Linked DNA regions of Schizosaccharomyces pombe. Changing the gene in region 2 together with the main gene of any one other region gives a genetic interaction. Each region holds a gene or a part of one and is shown on either strand. Other genes may lie near its edges.

Region 1 (5,439 bases), on a different chromosome or scaffold from region 2:
AAGGTTTAAATTGTGGTTTCAATACTACTTGCTTGGGGATATACTACAATTTGGTTAAAAGGCGAACAAAGGTAAGGCGACCCTATCAAGGCACGTAATAAGAAGCATACCTTATTCCAATAGACATTATCAAGCAAATTATTCAAAGCGTTTAACTGCTTATTAGCCTGTTGAGGTGGCATCTTTTGAAGTCTGGCTCTAATAGATGTGTCAAGAGTCTTAGGAAACGACAACCAAGGTCGCAATTCATCCTTCGGCCAAAGAGCAACTGCCTTTGTTATTTTTTGGTTTAGAGACATTATTGAGGGTTAAAAACAAGAATAAAGCCTCAACTTTCAATTGCTTTGCAAGTAGAAAGATTCTTCGACATTCTCTGCTTTGGCCAGGCTATATCACCTTATTGCGCTAAACAATATTGAGCGGCAAATACAAATATTGTAAATAACTTAACAGAATAATTACATATTTTGTTAGGCTTATAAGGATGCAATCAGTACTACGGTGAGTTTTTTTAGTGAATCATCTATTATGTTATACAACGTATATCATTAAATGATCTTAAAAAGTACCGGTGCGATGGAGTTGATAGAACCTTTGAAAACGGTTTAAAATTGAAGTGAGCAAGGTAGAGTCAACTAAGCATATTTAAGCAGTATTTTAAAACTTTCAATCTATATAAGAAAGGATATCTTATTTGGAGTGGATTAGAAATATGAAATTATCTAAGAAATGTTGCTATGTAAGCGAACGGGTTTTTTGTGAAACGGTTCCTGATGGGGTAGTGTAATATAATACTGTACAACGAATCTAGTGCCGGTGAAGCCAGCATGGCATATTAATTATACGATTAGCTAGCTAAAAGCAGAGAACATGGTTTATACGGGCTCTAATTAAAGTGGTTCTGAATACAGTAAGACATAAATATAATTCTTTCAGTTCATATGCAACATATAGTCTCGTTGAGTAACGAAATTGTACTACCTGTCAACTGTTAACTTCCAGCTTTTCTACATACATCAATGGAGTAACACTAAGAATTATTCCATCATAGAACAAATAAGGCATCAGTATTATCATTTAGAATAACATAAACTTAAATTATCAAAGTAGTAGTCGAAACGAATCGTTCATCTCGAAATCTGTTATTCAAATACGTTCCTTTTTCAAGTATAAAATAATCATCTTATGATTAACGACAAAGCACAAGGAAACAATTGCTTGTAAACCAAAAGTATTTCATTCCGTTCATTAAACCTTAGCATCATAACGTCCAAATAGTCTTGTCTTCAACCAGTCAATCAACACCATGAATTGGGATCGAGCAGAAATCAACTCATTTAAATATGCAAGTCTCCAAAAGGTGTGGCCGACAATTCCCTGCAAAGGCAGCATCTTTTTCATAAATGGCAATTTTAAATCGGCAATGGCCTTTTCATCTCCAACGTAAGCTAAAGCTCCTTGATGATGGTATTTAAAGGGCTCTAACTTCAACTGCTCCACTTGCTGTTTCAATCCGGCAACCTGAGAAGGAGCCTCTTTCTCACCTAACTGTTTTTCAAGAGCTTGAATCCGTTCATGCAATGCAAACTTCTTTCCTTCGACGTTCAAGTTCTTAGCCAACCAAGCACCTTGTTGGTTAGCAACTTGAGCAGTAGCAGGTAATCCAGAGAATGCGCAATCACCAACGGCGTACATCTCAGGTACACCCTTGACCCTAAAAAACTCATCAACTATTAAACCTTTGCGCGCACCGCTTTGTTCAGGGATAGAAGACATCAATGTACGAGTGAGTGGACGAGCAGTAATGCCGGCAGCCCAAACGAGCATTCCGTAGGGTATCTCTTGCATAGCCTTGCTTCCGTCAGGGTTGGTCTTTTGAACGATAAGGTTCTTCTCATTAACATCTTTAACCACGGTTTTAGTCATGATCTTAATGTTAAGATTTTTGAATAAATTCTCCGTATACGTAATCAAAGATTTAGTAAACATGGGGAGAACACCGGGGGCAGCTTCAATTAACGTGACATGGATGTCTTTTTGAAGCTCGGGAAACATATCCTTAACGTCGTTATCAATGAAATCTTGCATCTCAGCTGCAAATTCCATTCCAGTAGGGCCACCACCAACAACAGTGATGTGTAAGAGACGAGCCCGTTCCTCGGGAGAAAGATCTTTATTGAATCGAACTTGTTCCAAGATTTCAAAGATGCGGTTAAACACCTTCTTGGCATCTCCCGCTTCTTTCAGAAAACAGCCATGGTCGCGGACACCCTGGATACCAAATGTTTGATTACCAGCTCCAATAGCAAAAACAAGCGTATCATACGGAATAACCGCTTCCTTTCCCTCGTTAGCTTCGGTCGTACCACGAATGGTAACTTTCTTAGCCGATGTGTCGATGGCAGTGCATTCAGCTTGGTGAATGTTGGAGGGATCAATTTTTCCTTTGAACAAAGCCACAATGGGCTCAGTAATACTTGGAAGTCTCAAAGTACCCACGGTACATGAAGGAAGCATAGGGGTGAATAAAAAATGGTCCCTAGGGCTCACGAGGGTAATGTTGTACAAGGACGGGTCCAAATTTTTGATTGCCGCGACTGCACCCCATCCAGAACCCAAAACAACTATGTTCTTTTTCGGAACACCAGATTTTCCTTTTGGCGAACTGTTGTTCAGTCTTCGTAAGGATTGGAAGAGGGCTACGGCACCCAACATGGACAAAGAAGAAGTAACTTCCGCCATTTCAAGTGCTCGAGAGAAAAATGATTTGTTACGGGGTGTAGGAACATTCCCACTGTTCTTTACAGCACAGGATACATGAAATGAACGAACCATCGTTTTTGAATATGGCACTGTACGAGACAGGCGAACCACAGACTGTAGTCTAGCTTTTGAGACCGACATTTTTTAAGAAAAAAGAAGTAAACAAATTTCCCCTTAAATAGGACTAAGTGATAAGTGGTAGGGAGGCGTGAGTAAAAAAATGTATGAGATAATGACAAATGTTAAAGAGCAAGCAAACTAAAGAGATAAACCCATTCAAAATTGAGCTATTTTACGATATTAATAGACAGTAATAGAAAGAGAGAACGACAACCTTGAGTCCTCTCCTAAATACACAGTGAATTACTATAACTAGCAGAAATAAGCCTTTAGAACTGCGAAAAAAAGGTATCCAATAATAGTTTTACTAGAAAAAATTGTAGTGTATTCTAAAATACCTTCTACTTTACAGAAAACGAGTTTTTCTGCTTATTTTTTTTTTAAGAAGAGATGGGGGAGTGTTGAATGTGGACGAAAGGGCTGCATAGCTGAACATTTTGTATGTAAACAATTAAGGTCTACGAAGCGCCCTAATTCCGTCATCACGGTTATTCATATCAACTTGATTGGACTCGGCAATCAAGTGTGCTGTGAGTGGGGAAAAATAACGCGGAATAAGGTTATCCATAAAAAGTATTACGTGGTAAGAAAAGAATTGCTAAATGTTAGCAACGCACTGTGTTATCACATTTAATGTTACATTGGTAGTGTATGTTATTTGTCCTAAAAAAAGTGATATGGGTGACAAATGCTATAAATTTTGTGGCATGAAGGGTGTAACTCATCGTTGAATCAGCTTATAACTGGACTGAGAACCGGGTCAATTGATCTCTATTCATAAATTGTAGCTAATAGTACCTTCAATCAAAAGTATTTAACTAAATTTATAACCGTCATATTTGGCGAACACATAAAAAAAAGGACATGTGAAAAAATATTAATACCTGCTGTAGTATAATATTACTACATTAGATTACTTTTTAGGAAAAGTTGTGCAACAGTAATTTTTTAGTGTATGGCAAATTCCCAGTTTATGAAGGCAATGCTTTGTCCTGGGTATGAATGCCTTTTATTCACTTTTCTACCTATTTTACCTTCAATGATTTCCTAAACTTAAAATTCAGTAGTATATAAGACAGCTAATGTGTGCGACCTTCCTATGTGTTTTCAAATCGTTTCTCTTAGTTAACAGCTTGATACGTTAGATAGACTCAATATGTATAGAGTAAGTGAGTGAGTGGCAAAATTAAAAAAAAAAGTCATGAGTGTATATACCCAAGGCCTTGTACTGAACGATTGTCTTATGACAGATCTTCTTTTATGATTTAACCCAAATGTATCAGCATACATTGAAGTATTGAAAGAACACATTAATTGCTAGTGAATTGAAAGAATGACAGTAAACCTTCTAATGTAGTAGGATTGTTTAGGTTCTGGTTTCTCAATTAGTAATAAACTAAAATAAATTAAAAATAACCCAATGTATATCGCCCAAGTAATATAAAATCTAAGTATAAAAATGAACAGCCAAAGATATTGTTCAAAGGTATAGTCGTTTAACAGGTACAATGGTAAATACGAAACGAAGGTCCTTGAGATGGACTTTTTACATGCACTTTATTGATTTTCTTATGCAACCACATCCATCTCAACATCCTCTTTGGGGTTCTTTTCATTTTCATGACCATCGCTCTCGTTGTACGTTTCAAAAAGCAATTCTTTCATTTTCTTAGAAACTTCCTCGGCATGCAATGGTGCTGTCTCCAGAACACGGAAAAAATCTTCTTCTGGAATGGGGCCAGCTGTTTCGAGAAAAATTAATTTGGCTGGTTCTGAGGAAATTGAATAACAAATAGTAATAATAGACTCCAATTTGTTAATTGTCCCATCGACATCAGGTTCATCTTGAGTTATTTTGTTCTTCCAGTGACAATTTATTGCACAGGGAATATATTTTAAAGAGATACCTGCGTCCAATAAAGCAAGTACCGCACCATTGATTACGGCAGCCAATGTATCTGTGCCATCTTCCTCTATTATCTGAATTGACACTTGTATAAGTGTTCTTGGATATGTGTTTAGAAATATTGCATCTTCTAGGATACCAACAATTCTGCTAGAAATCATCTTTTCCAAAGTCTCAGCGACACCACTCACAGGTTGAACCAAAACTTCAACGGTGGCCTTGTTAAGCCTTTCGTCCCTGATTTTTACATCAATAGGACCATTGACACCACAAATAACCCTAGCAGAACCTACAATGATGTTAGCATAAAGAAAATTCATTTTTTTTTAATTGGCATTTGCTTGGCTAATATACCGTGGATAATAGCATTACCTTGTTTCCATTCGCTCGAGCCATCAGACCTTGAGAGGATACCTATACGGTTCATTTCAGCTTCTATAATGCAACAAAGTTGCTTGCTTGCAGAGACAGAAGAAACGTTTCTACTTCCTTTGCACAAGTAGGAAATAAGCTAGCTTACACCTCGTTATTCGAAAACAGAATGAGAGCAGAAAAAAATGTATCAATAGTTTGGTGACAATGGGAGTTGTATTAATAAGGGTTTGTAATTAAATTCTTCCAATTTTTACTTTACTAAAGCTGAATGATAG
Region 2 (3,359 bases):
CACCAGCATAAATCCTACTGCCAGGACCTTAATAATATAAGTTAGACTCGTTTAAAATGGAATTGATGTCTAGCTCGAGTAGGAGTCATTGAGCGATGCATACCGAAGAAAGACCGATAATTCTAATTGGTGACAAACGTTAACCTTTGCTTTTTCATATTAACAAAAATTACTTACTTCCTGAGGTCGGACATATTTAATTACTATCGTTCACGAATATATACTGCAAGCTAAAGTTTACTGCTTTTGAGAAGAGAGACTTCGATGATTACCAGCTACTTCACCTAAAAAGGGTACGCTCCATTACGTTATACAGATGTGTTCTGTATGCATAGAACACAGAGCGGTGCACAAGATTTGTAAACTTGGCAAATAAGTTTAAAAAGACATATAACGAAAATGACTTGTTACTATTTTTTACACCAATGATCGAGCTTTCGGCTCATTAGTAAAGTATCGCATACGAACAAACTCTGAAAAACGTACTTTGTAGCTACGTAAGTAAAGGCTAGTAATTGACATTAACAATACAATTAAAAAAAAGCAAGAGGATAACCGACAAAAAGCATTCATTTCATTAATTTAACTTTGAGATACTAGTAAAATAAATTTTGTATTGACAAATATCTTAATTAGAGTATACAGGGAATGAAGAAATTATTCCTAGTTGCCCCATCATTAACGATCTTCTTTTTCCAGTCTATTTCTTTCATAGGAAAACACTCGTAAGAATATAAATAGTAGGCTATTTTTTTCGATATAGACTTTTGACGACAGATAAATCCAAACTGTATCATAATTGAGTGTAATGTTTTTTCATCCATGTACCGAGAATTTGTTATGCAAGGCGAAGGCAAAACCAAAAATAACCAAGGAGGCTGTTCTTTATTAGGAGGCATTAACAATCCTGTACAATGTAATAACATTTTAGCTCGGAGTTCTGGAGGTGCAAAATTCAGCACAAGTGAACAACTTATCCCAGTAAAAAGTCCTTCTTCAGGAGTTCTTTCAAGAAAGTCCTGTTGTTTAATCAAGGGATGAACAGAATGCAAATCAATCCTTGAAACTCGGAAAAGTCCACAAGTTGAACATTTGTTGTCAACAGAAACACTGCCAATTTCCAACAAATCTTTCGGCTCCTTAAGACGTGCGCAATACGAAAAACAGGGAGTTGTCCGAATCCATTTTATCAATATTTTACTTGAATCCCCTCCTTTTCCTTCCGCTTGACCGGATCGACTAGCTCGTTGGTAAGCATCAATACCTATATTTTCGAGTTCACTTTCCACATTTTTTATTTTTTCAATCGGAGCACTTGACGCAATAAGTCGAGATTTCTCTTTTAACAGGTTATGATAATGACGAATAAGCTTATTCCCCTTCAGTCCCTTTGCATTATCAATGTTGTTTTTTCCAATGCGATTCTTCACTGGAATGGGACGCATTCAAATAGTGATAAAATATTTGTTAATCTCCCAGATGAAAATATAATTGTATTTACAGTAAATGGTTCATAAATGTAGTTTCCTAATTACTTGAAAAGTTTTTACGATGAAAGAAGTAGTGTCGCGTTACTTATAAAAATTCAGCACAAGAAGAGCTTGGACAATGTATGATAAATTCTTAATATGTAATTAAAGAGCGGTAATTTATGCAACCCTTTAACCATTACACAGAATATTAAACGGGTTTCCTTTTTTTATACGGTTTGTACTTTACAAGCACAAATCAACTTTTTTTATATTTGAAACAAAAATTTAAAGGCTTTGGGCTTCGAGGGGGATCGAACCCCTGACCACTTCGACCCAAACGAAGTATGCTACCACTACACCACGAAGCCTCAGTTGATATTGTGCTTTGAAAACTGTATATATAGTTATTAGATTTACTTGATTATTAACTAAACTTTTTCAATTGTTTTTAAAAAATAATCAAAATAAAGAAAACAACCGCCAAATATGGTAGAACTATAACATAAAAAAATTCGGATAAATAAACAGCCAATATCAACTTCTCTCTTAAATTGTTTTAAATGATTCCACTCATCAGTTACGTTACGATATAATTGATATAAGTTATTTTTAAAAGAAAGTAATAAATGTGTATAAATATGTATATACGACAGCTATTGAAAAGTATTTTGGTAAATTCTAAACTAACGATTTATATCTAGTGGAATTGGATAAGGGACTTTATTTATTATTTCTTAAATAAAATACATTTTAAAAAATAAAAAAAAATAAAAAAAGAAAAGAAAAGAATTTGGTGTACTACGGATTACCTTAAGTTTTTAAGTTAAACGGGTGAAGTGTAAGTATTTATGATATGAAAACCATAGAAACATTTTTGTATTTTTACTACTTACAGACGAATTCTAATTGTTTCACCAGACTATATACTATTAAAACAAATAAGTGCTTCAAAAATAATTATTGTAGATTAAATTTTCTTGATAACTCAAACTTGAGTAAATTAATTTTTTAGAGTATATGTTAAAAAAATAAATACTTTTAGTTTAATTAAACGTACAAAAAGTGTTAACAAACATTATGTACCTGTAAACAAAATGTAATAATTAAATATAAATAATATTTGTAACTGCGGCTGCTATCGCATTGGATGGGGGACTGATTGTTGTACATTTCAGCTAAACTTATTTTTACAAGTTACTTTATTTACTGACACAATAAATTGCGTGTTTTTTTTGGATTACTATAGAAAAAACACATACGTTAGCACTGGAATATTATTATTTAGCTATAAAAGTCGCAAGAGACAAGTATGACAATTTAAAGACAAAGTATAAAATGCATATTACCTAAATTCTTCAGCATTTGAGCTATACTGCATGGCATCAAGATTAAACAATTTAAAAGTTAGCCGTCATTGTAGAAAATATAACTACAGAAATTCTATTATCCCTGAAAATCCAGAGCATCACCAAATTTTATTATGTATCTTCTATTTACTTATAGGTAAAAACAAAACATTTACAGCGTTACAACTTTCCAAATAGTGAGGCGCAGTGAAGCCGTTTCCAAGTATTACAGAGTTTACGCAAGCATTCAGTATATTGGCACAAATGAGACGTAACGGAATGTTAGTGATACAACATCCCGTAACAAAACTTTGTTGGTAAAATCCAACCATTGCATAACGACTTTAGCCTTTTAAAAAGCTTTTTGTGTTTGTAGTCCTTTACTGGTAGTCGTTACGAAAGTATCTAGTCACTGTGGTACTTAACATTGAATTTTCATATAGCTACAGCACCTCGCTTTCTTTCACATTTCGAGTATTAGTCCTACGTCTTTCCTATACTTATGTTATTAAGTCGTTTTTAAGGGGAAGCTAGGTTTTGT

Evidence for each region.
Region 1: mutations in bmt2 (region 2) and ndi1 together harm fitness more than expected from each alone (negative genetic interaction), as found in Schizosaccharomyces pombe (one large-scale study listed by BioGRID).

The regions. Positions count from the first base shown.
Region 1 is NC_003423.3:639,151-644,589, reverse strand, and holds ndi1 (NADH dehydrogenase), read right to left. Parts: upstream 3,297-5,439; 5' UTR 2,905-3,296; coding exon 1,249-2,904; 3' UTR 684-1,248; downstream 1-683. Other genes in the region: respiratory chain complex assembly protein Cbp6, read right to left, coding at 1-43, 111-299; exosome subunit Rrp46, read right to left, coding at 4,453-5,078, 5,162-5,216.
Region 2 is NC_003424.3:363,636-366,994, reverse strand, and holds bmt2 (rRNA (adenine) methyltransferase Bmt2), read right to left. Parts: upstream 1,551-3,359; 5' UTR 1,446-1,550; coding exon 633-1,445; 3' UTR 553-632; downstream 1-552. Other genes in the region: protein Vps55, read right to left, coding at 1-27, 104-122, 178-194.